Drosophila melanogaster: one gene and its partners. The protein of the gene in region 1 interacts with the protein of each later gene in a pairwise test. Each region holds a gene or a part of one and is shown in the gene's direction. Other genes may lie near its edges.

What was found.
Region 2: the proteins of aurB (region 1) and CG43347 interact in a two-hybrid assay, tested with the Drosophila melanogaster proteins (one large-scale study listed by BioGRID).
Region 3: the proteins of aurB (region 1) and CG6357 interact in a two-hybrid assay, tested with the Drosophila melanogaster proteins (one large-scale study listed by BioGRID).

What each region holds. Positions count from the first base shown.
Region 1 is NT_033779.5:10,856,148-10,859,602, reverse strand, and holds aurB (aurora B), read left to right. Parts: upstream 1-1,508; 5' UTR 1,509-1,625; coding exon 1,626-1,759; intron 1,760-1,814; coding exon 1,815-2,532; intron 2,533-2,592; coding exon 2,593-2,730; 3' UTR 2,731-2,806; downstream 2,807-3,455. Other genes in the region: Stam (signal transducing adaptor molecule), read right to left, coding at 1-233, 726-768; Dnz1 (DNZDHHC/NEW1 zinc finger protein 11), read left to right, coding at 3,325-3,440. UniProt on the Drosophila melanogaster protein: Serine/threonine-protein kinase that mediates both meiotic and mitotic chromosome segregation. Required for histone H3 'Ser-10' phosphorylation. Phosphorylates mei-S332 within residues 124-126 and stabilizes its association with centromeres during meiosis.
Region 2 is NC_004354.4:10,617,104-10,621,784, reverse strand, and holds the start of CG43347 (uncharacterized protein), read left to right. Parts: upstream 1-1,594; 5' UTR 1,595-1,819; intron 1,820-2,788; exon of another isoform or gene 2,789-2,798; 5' UTR 2,799-2,919; coding exon 2,920-3,052; intron 3,053-3,175; coding exon 3,176-4,681.
Region 3 is NT_033778.4:13,838,119-13,842,302, forward strand, and holds CG6357 (uncharacterized protein), read left to right. Parts: upstream 1-1,934; 5' UTR 1,935-1,959; coding exon 1,960-2,187; intron 2,188-2,256; coding exon 2,257-2,526; intron 2,527-2,586; coding exon 2,587-2,856; intron 2,857-2,914; coding exon 2,915-3,199; intron 3,200-3,262; coding exon 3,263-3,529; 3' UTR 3,530-3,625; downstream 3,626-4,184. Other genes in the region: CtsL2 (cathepsin L2), read left to right, coding at 371-1,100.

The sequences.
Region 1 (3,455 bases):
CGTCTCGAAATCCCGTGAAGCCACCTCCAAATGGAGCGGTTTTCCGCAGTTGTTGGACAGGGCGTCCAAAAGCGTAATCGCCTGCATCACCACATGAGGATCGGTGTGGCCCATGCGGCGCATCACCGCCTTCAGGCAATCCTTGGCCAGGCGGGGATTGGTCGTTACCTTGTCGCATACATCCAAAATCAGAGACCAGTTGTCGTTGGTATTAGTTTCGCTGGTGGCCTTTTCTATAAAACAAGAAAGGCATGAACCGCATTAGCTTATCAGTCAAATAGAAATTTATATTCTGAGTCACAGCAAAACAAAGATAAGCTTCTTCGAAAACTGATTGCAGCTAAAGAAAATCAATACAATCGGAAACTAACTAAATTGCATTAAGGGATGGCGAGGGGGTTGGCTGCGTAAACGGAGGGGGTGTGAGGGGCTGCGGGTGCTACGTCACTCAAGGTCAGCGACTGCCATCTAACAACTCCAATAAGAAGTTCAACGAACGACGCAGAGCTGCGCACAGCATCTCACATGACTTTCTTTGTTGTCTGCTCAATCGGGGGATCGGGTTCATAGGGAAAACAGGGGAAAATGGTGTGGTGTGCGGGTTTTTAGACCCCAGATAAGAATAGAAAACTATGAAACGCATATTGGACCGTTGTGCAGTCCAATTGGAACATCGGCTTGTCCAATCGGCCAACACAACAGCTTAACGATAAGTGGTAACTCACCCACGTCGGCGTCGAATGGCGACGACTGCCCAAAGATTCCCATCTTTATGACCAAACCGCTCGCTCGGCTATCTGCCAATAATCTGCGCTGCCCTGGGGTCAATAAATCCAAATCAGTTGATCTTTGTCTGTTTTCCCTATTGTTTTTCCTCTCCAATCGATTTTCGGTGCGTCACGGCGACTGAAAGCACGCTTTTGGTGTACTTCCTCCTGCGTAGACCTTTTCGCTTTTTTCCAAATCTCTTTTGGGCTGCTTATATCTTTTCGATTAGCCTAAAAACTTCCGAATAGCGCTTGCAAATTCGCTTAATTTACGTTTATTGTGTAAAAAATGACTAATGGCGAGTGTGGCCAGATTGCGAATAGTCGGGAAATCCAAAGGATTTTTTGCAGCTCATTTTCAATGGTTAGTTAGAGGTATTCGAGACTTATATTATGCAAAACATTTTTATTTATATATACATATAAATATTATTGATATTGTATATTTAAATAAATTTAGACAACTAATAATATAAATCTATTAAACATCTGATATGATTTGAGCACTGGTAGCTATGGTTTATAATAATTAAACAGTTTTCTATGCCCTTCACTCAAACTATTCTCCTACGGGTGAGAAGCGTATATTATAATAACTATGCACAATATAAGAACAAAACTAGAAGATTAATTTTTATTTAAGAAACATGAAAATATTTTATTATACGTTGACCGAATTTAAAAATACAGTGACTTAACTGCTTCACTGAGAGTCACAGAATAACTCGATTCTAGCATGCGGTCACACTAATCTCAGCATTCGAAAAAAACGCGCAAACAAAAGGGACGCTTATAGAAAATACAACTTAAAATAATTAATTTACTTAAAAATCATAATATTATAAACAAGTCAGCGCCATGACGCTTTCCCGCGCGAAGCACGCCAACCGCAACCACCTGCCGCACCTGCTGGCCAAGGTGCCCGAGGAGCACCAGGAGCCGATCAAGAATATGTGCCTCAAGATGATGTCCCACGACGCATACGGACAGCCGTACGTACAAGCAATAAGCTAATGTATCAATCCGTACTTAATCTGCTCCCTCCAGATACGATTGGAGTCCCCGGGACTTTGAGATGGGCGCCCACTTGGGACGCGGCAAATTTGGACGTGTCTACTTGGCGCGGGAGCGCCACTCGCACTATCTGGTGGCCATGAAGGTGATGTTCAAAGAGGAGCTGCGCAAGGGCTGCGTGCAGCGTCAGGTTCTACGCGAGATCGAGATCCAGTCGCGACTGAAGCACCCGCACATCCTGCGCCTGCTCACTTGGTTCCACGACGAGAGCCGCATCTATCTGGCCCTGGAAATTGCGTCCGAGGGCGAGCTGTTCAAGCACCTGCGTGGCGCACCCAATCATCGATTCGATGAACCGCGGTCTGCGAAGTACACCTACCAAGTGGCGAATGCCCTCAACTACTGTCACCTGAACAACGTGATCCATCGGGATCTGAAGCCGGAGAACATTCTGCTAACCAGCACGGACGACCTTAAGCTGGCCGACTTTGGTTGGTCGGCGCACACGCCGAACAACAAGCGCAGGACTCTGTGCGGCACCCTGGACTATCTGCCGCCGGAGATGGTGGATGGGAACTCCTACGACGACTCGGTGGACCAGTGGTGCCTGGGCATTCTGTGCTACGAGTTCGTCGTCGGCTGTCCGCCCTTCGAGTCGAACAGCACGGAGAGCACCTACAGCAAGATCCGGCGCATGGAGATCTCCTACCCATCGCATTTGTCCAAGGGCTGCAAGGAATTGATTGGCGGGGTGAGTTGGAAGATGTTTCCTTTGAGATCCATTTATTGAACAGGGATTTCATCTTTGCAGCTGCTTCGCAAGGAAAGCAAGGGCCGCATCACCTTGGTGGATGTGATGACCCATTATTGGGTGAAGGCGGGAATGGCCGAAAGGGAGCTGCAGCTGCAGAAACGGGAGCGCGGCAAGGAGAACACGGCCAGAAATTGACTGGTTTCGAGTTTGCATTGTGTAACGACTTATTTCAGATTTTACTTTTATGTTTAATAAACGGTTTATAAGATTTAATGAAGTTTGGAGTATATTTTTGAAATCTGAAAACTGCTTAAAAATAAAAATCTATTGGTAGTAACTTACTTAAATTACCTTTTTCTAATTTAACCCCTTTTAAATTAATTTTTCTAAGCCCATGCCTTACTTAGTTCCAGTTCGTGGGCCATGCTATATTTTCGCGCTTCCCGCAAACGGTCACCCTAAATAAATAAATGACAATTTCAAGCGTAAAATAAGCCCTAAAATTTCGATGAAACGCTCGATTTGTGAATCGTGCACCCAGCAGTGAGTGGGCAAAGTGCGGCAGCCGACGAGACCGCCACCAGGAGCCTCGTATCCCGCCCAGCAGTGGATCGGTGGTCGCCAGACGAGCCGAGGAACTACAGCAACAATTGTTATTTTTCGGCCCTCGATTTTCAGGGGGAGGGGGGCTAGGAACATCAGCCCCTTCGGTTTCTAATTGAATTAAATAGAAGGGGCGGAGAGGCAATATCACCCAGGTCAGTCCAACAAGACGCAGGCAGCAGAGCAATGGTTTTTATCCGAGATCCCTGTGGCATCGCCTGCTTGGTAGTCACCTACGGAGCAGTTCTGTACGCGGACTATGTGGTCATCCGTTGGATCATTCTGACCACCATGCCGGGCAGGTGAGTAATGCATAC
Region 2 (4,681 bases), on another chromosome or scaffold:
CTTTGTTTGTCCACTGGCACACACACACACGCGTTGGCACACGCACACCACGACAAAGAAGGAGGACAGGCACACAAGGAATTTCAACCCCCAGCGAGAAGAATAACAACAACCCAGCACGGAAAAAATCGCTGCATACGTTCAGGCGGAGCGTGTCCTCTTTGGGGGGAATAGTAGTGGCGATAAAAGAGTGCGGGGGAGCGTGGGCGCGACGGCGGGGGAGCAGCGAGTTGAGAGCGGAGCAGGCGCAAGAAGAGCGCTCGAGAGAACCGGGGAGAGCGCTCGAAGGATATTCGAGAGCGACGCAGGCGCCTGGCCGCCAAAGCAGCGACGCCGGCCGAGGCATCGACGTCGCAGTCGACAGAACCACCACCACCCGCACGGGCACGGAAACAAGGAGCTGCATCCATCCGTCCGCCCATCGCCAACCATTACCACCCACCACCCCTTGATGGCGCTGCTGAAGCTGCCGCTGCTGCTGCTGCTGCTACTGCTACTGCTGCTGGTGGCACCGAAACACAACAAACCGTAAACCATTGGCGCTGGCAGCGACGTTGCGTCGGCGTTCGCGACTGTTGGAATGACAGGATGTTGGCTGCAGACTCAGCGGGGTGCGATTGTGGGCGGATGGGTGGCCCATGGTCAATGATGAAGGGGGGGCGGGGAGTGTGGGGAGGTTGGCGGCCGAACGACTGCTTCGCAGCAGCCTTACCACCACATAAACAAAAATTCGATTTATGACCACTGGTGGGAGTGGCACGGGCGCTCACGGGCTTCGCATGGATTTTTGGGGGTGGCGCCAATTCGCTTTGCTCCTGCCACTCGCTTCTGAATCCTTTCAAACTGCGAAAAATTACTGGGTTGTGTAAGAGTTAAATGTATAACATTAATTAATGCGGTGCTTAAAATTAGTTTCCATATACGTAACATAATATAAAAATATATCATAGAAGAATTTAGACCCTGAATCCGAAATTACTACTGGTTCTTTGTTAAAATTTAAGTGTTGCCACTTCAGCAAATTTGGAACTTTTTGGAATTTTTTTTTCGAATTTTTTCTAACAGTGCAATCGCGACTAATATCCAACCAGCAGAGTTCTGGTTATCGTTGTTGTTGCTGTCGTCGTCATCTCAATTCGCGAGTGCACGCACACATGCAAACGCGGACGGGCAGGAACACCCCCACACACGCTTACACGAACACCGAGAAGGAATCGCGACATCAAAAACAGCGACAGGACACGACGTCGAAGTCGCGACTTCAGCGAGGAGCTTTTTCGACAGTGCGAGCGCGAGAGAGAAGGGGAGAGAGAGCGGCCGAGAGATACTGAGCGAGAGAGAGAGCGAGTAAGCGCGTAAGTGAGAAAGAGGGAGAAAGGCTCTCCGTAAACCAGTCGCTTGATTGTGTGTGTGTGTGAGTGATTTTTGGGGTTTGGGGGGCTTTAGCGGCTTCGCAGGACTTTTTCGCAACGGAGAGCCGAGGAGGAAGTGGCGCTGCCGGCGCCGCCGTCTCTGTCGGCGTCGCTGCCTTCCGTTGCGACTGCGGCGAGGACATACACATAAATAAAAAGTCCTTCATTCCGTCGCGACCAGCGAGTAACGGCATATGAGCGCTCGCAGAGAAATCGCTAATCACGAACGGCGGACGACAAAAGCCCAAGAAGAACAGGCAGAGGGAAAAAAGAAAGCAAAAAATGAAAAAGGATTGCCAACAGGAGCAGCAGTTAAATAATTAAACAAGTGCCAGATCGCAAAACAACAGTGTGCAATTTTTTTTTTAACAAGTTATTTTCGAGTGAAAAGCCGTGGAAAACTGTGTGTAAGAAAGGCTACCAGCAAGAAGGCTCAAGGAGCAGAAGAAGGCGAGGCGTCTAGCACAGCCGACCCCCCACCACCCAAACCACCCACAACCTCCCCCCGTCCCCCTCGTCACTCAACGTGTATTGGCACAAGGCGAAAACCGCCACCGCCTCGCGTGCTCTCTCTCTCTCTCTATCGCCCTCTTTTCTCCCACTCTCTTTTTAGTCCTTTCGTTGGGTGTCAAACCAATACACTTGCACGCACACCCTCGTCCTCCAAAAAAAAGAAATAGTAACGAAATTATTGAAACAGCGAACACAACAATAACAACAAAATATCCAGGCAGCTTGCAAGTCACTTGTCAAAATCTAAAAAAACTGTTCTGTTTTTGTTTTTTTTTTTTCGTGACTATTGTGGAAATACAATTCTCAAAAATTCGCAAACTAACGTTGTGTGTGCGTGTCTGTGTGTGTGCGTTTGGAGTCTGAGTTTTCATAACAAGCAGCTCTCTTGGCCACAAAAACCCAACCGCAAGCCAAGAATATGCCACGAAAATAAGCAGATTGATTCTAAACGACACGTTCGAGTGATAGATCCCATGTTGTTTGACTTATTGAATATTCAATAACTACCAATAAAGAAATTCCACCGGGCTAGCGAAAAAATGCCGATAAAGTAAACATTCCCAATATACATAATAAAAAAAAGTGCTGGTGGCATTATTAAAAAAATACAAATATTAAAAACAAGAAAAATCAAAGTGGCAGAGTTGCCACCCGGCGAAAGGACAGAAACTTCAGCGAGTGGCTTTCGGTGAACGGTTTTTTTACTGCTACATATCTCGCGTAGCGCCTCCATCGCTGTCGCTGTCGCAGTCGCAGTCGGCGTCTGCGTCGACGTTGGCAGTGACAGCTCTGTCAGTTTTCAGTTTTTCCTTTTTGCTTCACACGTATGCTTTTTATTTCTCGAATAAAATAACAAAATACAGAAACCTGCAGTGTACAACTGAAAAGCGAGAATCTTTGTAAAAGCGATGCAACAGCAACGACAACAACGACAGCATCACCAACAACAACAAAAAGTGTAGTGGGTCGCACGCGCGACTTGTGTGTGTGAATAATGAAGAAGAAGCAGAAGCAGAAGCAACAACAACAGCAGCAGCAGAGGCAGAGCAAGGCGCCATCTGAAGCGGAATCGGAGGCAGACCGCCCCGGCAGCAACAGCAGCAGCACCAGCAACAACAAGCATTCGCGTCGCAGCAGCGCCGGCAGCAACAACAACAAATAGCAAAAACTTAGCAGCGTTCGGCAAAGCGCAGCAAAAGCAACAAAGGCAACACTAAAACTAACAGCAGCAACACCAATTGCAACTGCAGCACCAGCAGCATCAACAACAACAACAACCAAGCGGCGGCAAGTTAGCAGCAGCAACAACAACACTAGCAATCACAAGAACAACAGCAAACGCTGCAGTCGCAGCAGCAGCAGCAGCAGCAGCTGCAGTAGCAGCAGCAGCAGCAGCAGCAACGCTAGCGTCGGCAGCAGCATGTCCAAAACAAGTAGCGGTAATCCAGCAGCAGCAGGTGCAACAAATGCCGCGAATGCCGCTGACTTCAGTGCTTTCGATTTTAACGATAGTTCCGATAACTCCGACACTCCCCTCGTGCCACGCCCACCGTTCCTGAGTCGCGCCGCTGCAACGGCAGCCGCAGCAGCAGCTGCAGCAGCAGCGCTCAGCATCAGTAACAACAGCAACAATTCGGCGGGATCAGCGGGTCAGCTGCCGCACAGCACGAGCAGCAGTAGCAACAACAATAACAACAACAACAATAACAATGGGGCTAACTCCGTTAACAGCAACGCCAACAACAATAACTATGGCCACAGCAGCAGCAGCTCGCAGAGCAGCATGGACGAAGAGGAAGAGGACGACGAGGAGGAGGACGAAGAGGAGGAGGAGGAGCAGGATGTGTCGCAGCAACAGCAGCAGCAACAACAATTGGCGGCGGAGCAGCAGCAACGGGCTGCAGCAGCGGCAGCTGTAGTTGCAGCAGCAGTTAGTGCGCTGCACAACGGCAACAAGCAGCAGCACTACAACAACAATAATAACAACAACAATAACGGTAACACCAAGTCACGTGATCGCGCCGATCATCATCTGCAGTCGCAGCAGCAGCAAGAGCACGACGATGACGAGGATGACGACGAGGAGGAGGGCGAGGAGGACGAGGATGAGGATGACGAGGAGCAGCACCAGGAGCAGCAGCAGCAACATCAGGGCAATGGGCATGATCTCACGCCCACGGACCTGCGACATGTGATGCCGGCTAGCAACAACTTGCAGCAACAGCATACGCAGCAGCAACAGGAACCGGCTGCCTACGACGATGAGGGGGAGGAGGAGGACGAGGATGATGACGACGAGGACGAGGTGGCCAGCAGTCATCTGGACAGCCGCGCCACCCTCTCCTCCGGCCATCTGAACAGTGCGGCCGCCGCCGAAAGCAGCGGCCTGCACATGAGCGTTGCAGCAGCGGCAGCTGCAGCAGCAGCGGCGGCAGCAGCCGTTTCCGCAGCCAAGCTGAACGCCCAGCTGGAGCAGCAGCAGAGTGCCAATGCCTTGGACATGGCCAGCGGGAGCAGTGCCACGCCCATAGCGCCGCCACCGCCAAGTAGCTTGCTGGGCGGTAACAGCAACACAAGCTTCTCCACGAACAACAACAGCAACCATGCGCTAAGCTCGACGCACGGCAGCTTGGGTCCGGGCGGACAGGGCACCAATTGCAGCAACGATCTGATGGCCACCGGTGGCGGTAACTCCCGCGGAGGTTCCTCCCTCAGCCTGGGCATCAACTCATCCAGTGCAGCGGCGCTGCAGCACC
Region 3 (4,184 bases), on another chromosome or scaffold:
CCCAGCTTATAACTTTCAAACGGGTTTCGGTATCGTCGTCCATATGATTTGTAACGTTACGTAGGTGCCGATTGGTTTCCCGGTTATGCTAATCAAGAAATCAGAATTGATCAAATATTCCGACCATAGGTTTGTGGTTTCCCGAAAACTATAACCAAATGGGTGGAAACAAACAAAACCCTTCCATATCGAACTTATTTATTACGACGAAGCTCCATAACAAATGTTTCATAACTTATCGGTTGTTTGTCATACATTTAAGAACATTATGAATAACATTTAAATGTAGTCTGGTTGCCACTTAAGTAAGCTACTAATTTGCTTTAATCTTTGCTTAACGGAATACTAAAATGTTTTACTTACCTTGCAGGAGATATACGAATGGCCATATCAACTTTGTGACTGCCAGGAATCCGGCGAGTGCCAATCTTCCCGAGATGTTCGATTGGCGCGAGAAGGGCGGAGTGACGCCACCGGGATTCCAGGGTGTGGGATGCGGTGCCTGCTGGTCGTTCGCCACCACAGGAGCGCTCGAAGGACATCTATTCCGGCGGACTGGAGTGCTGGCCTCGCTGTCGCAGCAGAATCTGGTGGACTGTGCCGATGACTACGGCAACATGGGCTGTGACGGTGGCTTCCAGGAGTACGGTTTCGAGTACATACGCGATCACGGTGTAACGCTGGCCAACAAATATCCGTACACACAGACGGAGATGCAGTGCCGTCAGAACGAAACCGCCGGACGTCCACCGCGCGAGAGTCTGGTGAAAATTCGCGATTATGCCACCATTACTCCCGGGGATGAGGAGAAGATGAAGGAGGTGATTGCCACGTTGGGACCGTTGGCGTGCTCCATGAACGCGGACACCATTTCGTTTGAGCAGTACAGCGGTGGCATCTACGAGGACGAGGAGTGCAATCAGGGCGAACTGAATCACTCGGTAACCGTGGTGGGCTATGGAACGGAAAATGGACGCGACTACTGGATCATCAAGAACTCGTACTCTCAGAATTGGGGCGAGGGCGGCTTTATGCGCATCCTCCGGAATGCAGGTGGATTCTGCGGCATCGCCAGCGAGTGCAGCTACCCCATTCTGTAGGCTCACAACTGCGCCATGCAATTAGTTAGATAGTATAGTCAATTAAAAACCACGAATTTATAACTTTGTTACTGTAGTCGTAAGCTGTGTGGGTCACCACATCGATTCCATGAGTCACGCGGTTAATAAATGAAACAAGTGCCTTATCGGTTTGTGTTGCTTTCTGGGGAAATTCTGAGAAATTGGATCGTAGTCTTAACGGCTATGCACACAAAAATTAATTTTCGGTCTTATTTATTTTTTGAGAAACATTTTCTTAATGAAGAACAACGCTGTGTGGGAAGTTGTTTGAGAAAGTAATAAATTTCAATTTGGCAAAGTGGATAGAAAATGAACAATGCACACATAACCGTATAACCGTGTAAATTTGCGACAAATTTAATATAAACAAGAAATAACGCTACAGTCGGGTGTCACGACTAATGCATACCCGTTAATCAGAAAAAGCTGCAAGCAGCGTAACGTTTGTTTACAGCATTTGTGTGGAAAACACATACATATCTAGAATGTAGTTGTTACATTCCTATCAACGAGCCTAGTATTCCCGCCGAGTAATGGGTATAAAAACGGGGCTTAAATTTCAAATTAATTTAATTCAATACTATTGCAACAAATCATAAAGCAATTATGCCAGTTGTTATATATTTGGTGGGCAAGGTCACGTAAATGCAGTTACTCTTTTAAAAGATCAACACTTAAGAGAAAAGAGAGCAAAAGAAATCGCTCTCGTTGTCGGTTTTTATTTAGATTTCTCTCTGAATGCAGCTGATTTTGAGTACTTGCAATTATATATGTATGTATTCCCCATATAATTCGCGATTCTGGCAGTGCGGAGCGCAGTACGAGAAAAGTGTTCAAGATGACCTCAGCTCGAATTTTACTTGGCGTCCCACTGCTCCTGTATTTGATGGGCGTGGCTCTGGGCGTACCAGTAAGCACATCATCACCTGCTACACAAAAAATCAATCCAGAGATTGGGGTTACTACTGGGAAAAGCGACGCTGACTCATCGACACCCACAATTGAACACACCTCTGGCTTATCTGAGTTCGAGGAGGAATGCCAGTTTGCATGGCAAAGGTTCTTGGTAAGTTTTTTGATCGCATAATTCCAAGAAAGGGTATCGTTCAAGGAAGTTATTTGTATACACTCCAAGGTCGACTTTGATGTACACTACGATAATGACTACGAACGGCAAAAGCGACGTGATATATTCTGCGAAAATTGGCAAAAAGTTCGCGATCACAATTTGAAATACGATTTGGGAGTTGTCAGCTTCAAGAAGGGTATCAACCAGTGGAGTGATCTTACCTTTGAAGAGTGGAAAGAGAAACAAACTCCCAAAGTTATGCCAGAAATCGCTAGTGAATCATCAAAGGAGGAGCGAGACAAAGTCAATTGCCAGGCTGCATGGGAAAAGTTTTTGGTAAGATTAGCTAGGTTATTAAAACCAACTTGGTATTAATATGTATGATATGAATTACAGATTGACTTTGGAGCGCAGTATAAGAATGCAAATGAAACCGAGAAACGCCGCAATGTATTTTGTGCAAACTGGAGGGCGATTGTGGAGCACAATGTGCAGTATGAAAAGTGGGCAGAGCCCTTCAAGAGGGACATAAATCAGTGGACTGATCATACTATTGAGGAACGATCTAGTCCTGCTCCCGAGATTCGTAAGGAAGAAGCCACTACATCTACATCCGAAATAGATAATGATAATATCATATGCCAGCCGGCTTGGGAGAAGTTCCTGGTAAGATATGGTTGGGTATTTAAAGAATTTTTATTAAAGTTGCTTTTATCAATTGCAGATTGACTTTAAGCCGTCTTATCAAGATGATACTGAAACCGAAAAGCGACGAAATGTATTTTGCGACAACTTTAAGTCGATACATAAGCACAATGTTCAATTCGATTTGGGAAATATTTCTTTTAAGAAGGGTATAAATCAGTGGAGTGATTTGACCGTTGAGGAGTGGAAAAACAAACAACGACCTGCTTTTAATCCAGAGTTTTCTAAAGTTGAAGCTACTACAAAAATATCTAAGGATAAGAGGGATGATAATACATGTCAGGCAGCATGGAAAAAGTTTTTGGTAATATTTGGCTTGCAATGTAAATAGAATTTGAGAATTTGAATGAATATATCTTTATTACAGATTGATTTCGGTGCGAAATATCAAGATGAAAAAGAAACAGAAAAACGCCGAACTATATTTTGCGACAATTGGAAAGCGATTCAGGAACACAATGAGCAGTTCGAATTGGGAGTGGAATCTTTCAAGAAGGGCATAAATCAGTGGAGTGATCTAACTGTAGAAGAGTGGAAAACCAAACAACGACCTAATTTAGCTCCAGAGTTTTCAAAAGAAGAAACGACTACAAAAATAAGCAAGGAGAAGAAATACAAAAAAAATGTTTTTTAAAAACTAGATGATAAGATATTGTACCGAGTACATTTTCAGATGAAATGTTTGTCACCTTTTAAATACACGCAAAAATATTGCTACTAACGCAAAGAGAATACCTTAGTGATTTTGGGTTAATTTTTAAAAATATGTATTTATTATTATTTCTTGAGGGGCTGTCCAGTTGAGAATCTTGCTTGAGGAGTTTATCTATTACAATAGTGTTTCGCAAATGTTCAAGCCGATTTTATGGCTGGGTTCGCTATTTAAATCGATCATTAAGTTTTAAATGAGTAAATTTTGTTTTATGTTTCTTTCACTACCTTTTTGTTTTATAACGCACACGAACTCTAAATGATTAATTTATACTTGTATATTTGCTGAGATCCCTATCTCCTTGTTGCATTTAACAGGGCGCATTATTCGTATTACACATACAATCCGTAAATATATATAATATATATGTATATAGTATTTAATTTAACAAATACATTTGTAGGTTATCGCAAGTTGCTGCACTAAGTGAACGTTTTTATGTAATCAATATGTTTACATTCATTGATATCTGAGTACATCGAAGTGGACAACACACCGCTTCTTTACAATGCATAATGGGTATTGTTGGGGCATTTATAGTTACTATACAAATCTTTTGGTAGGAAGGGGGTGGCAA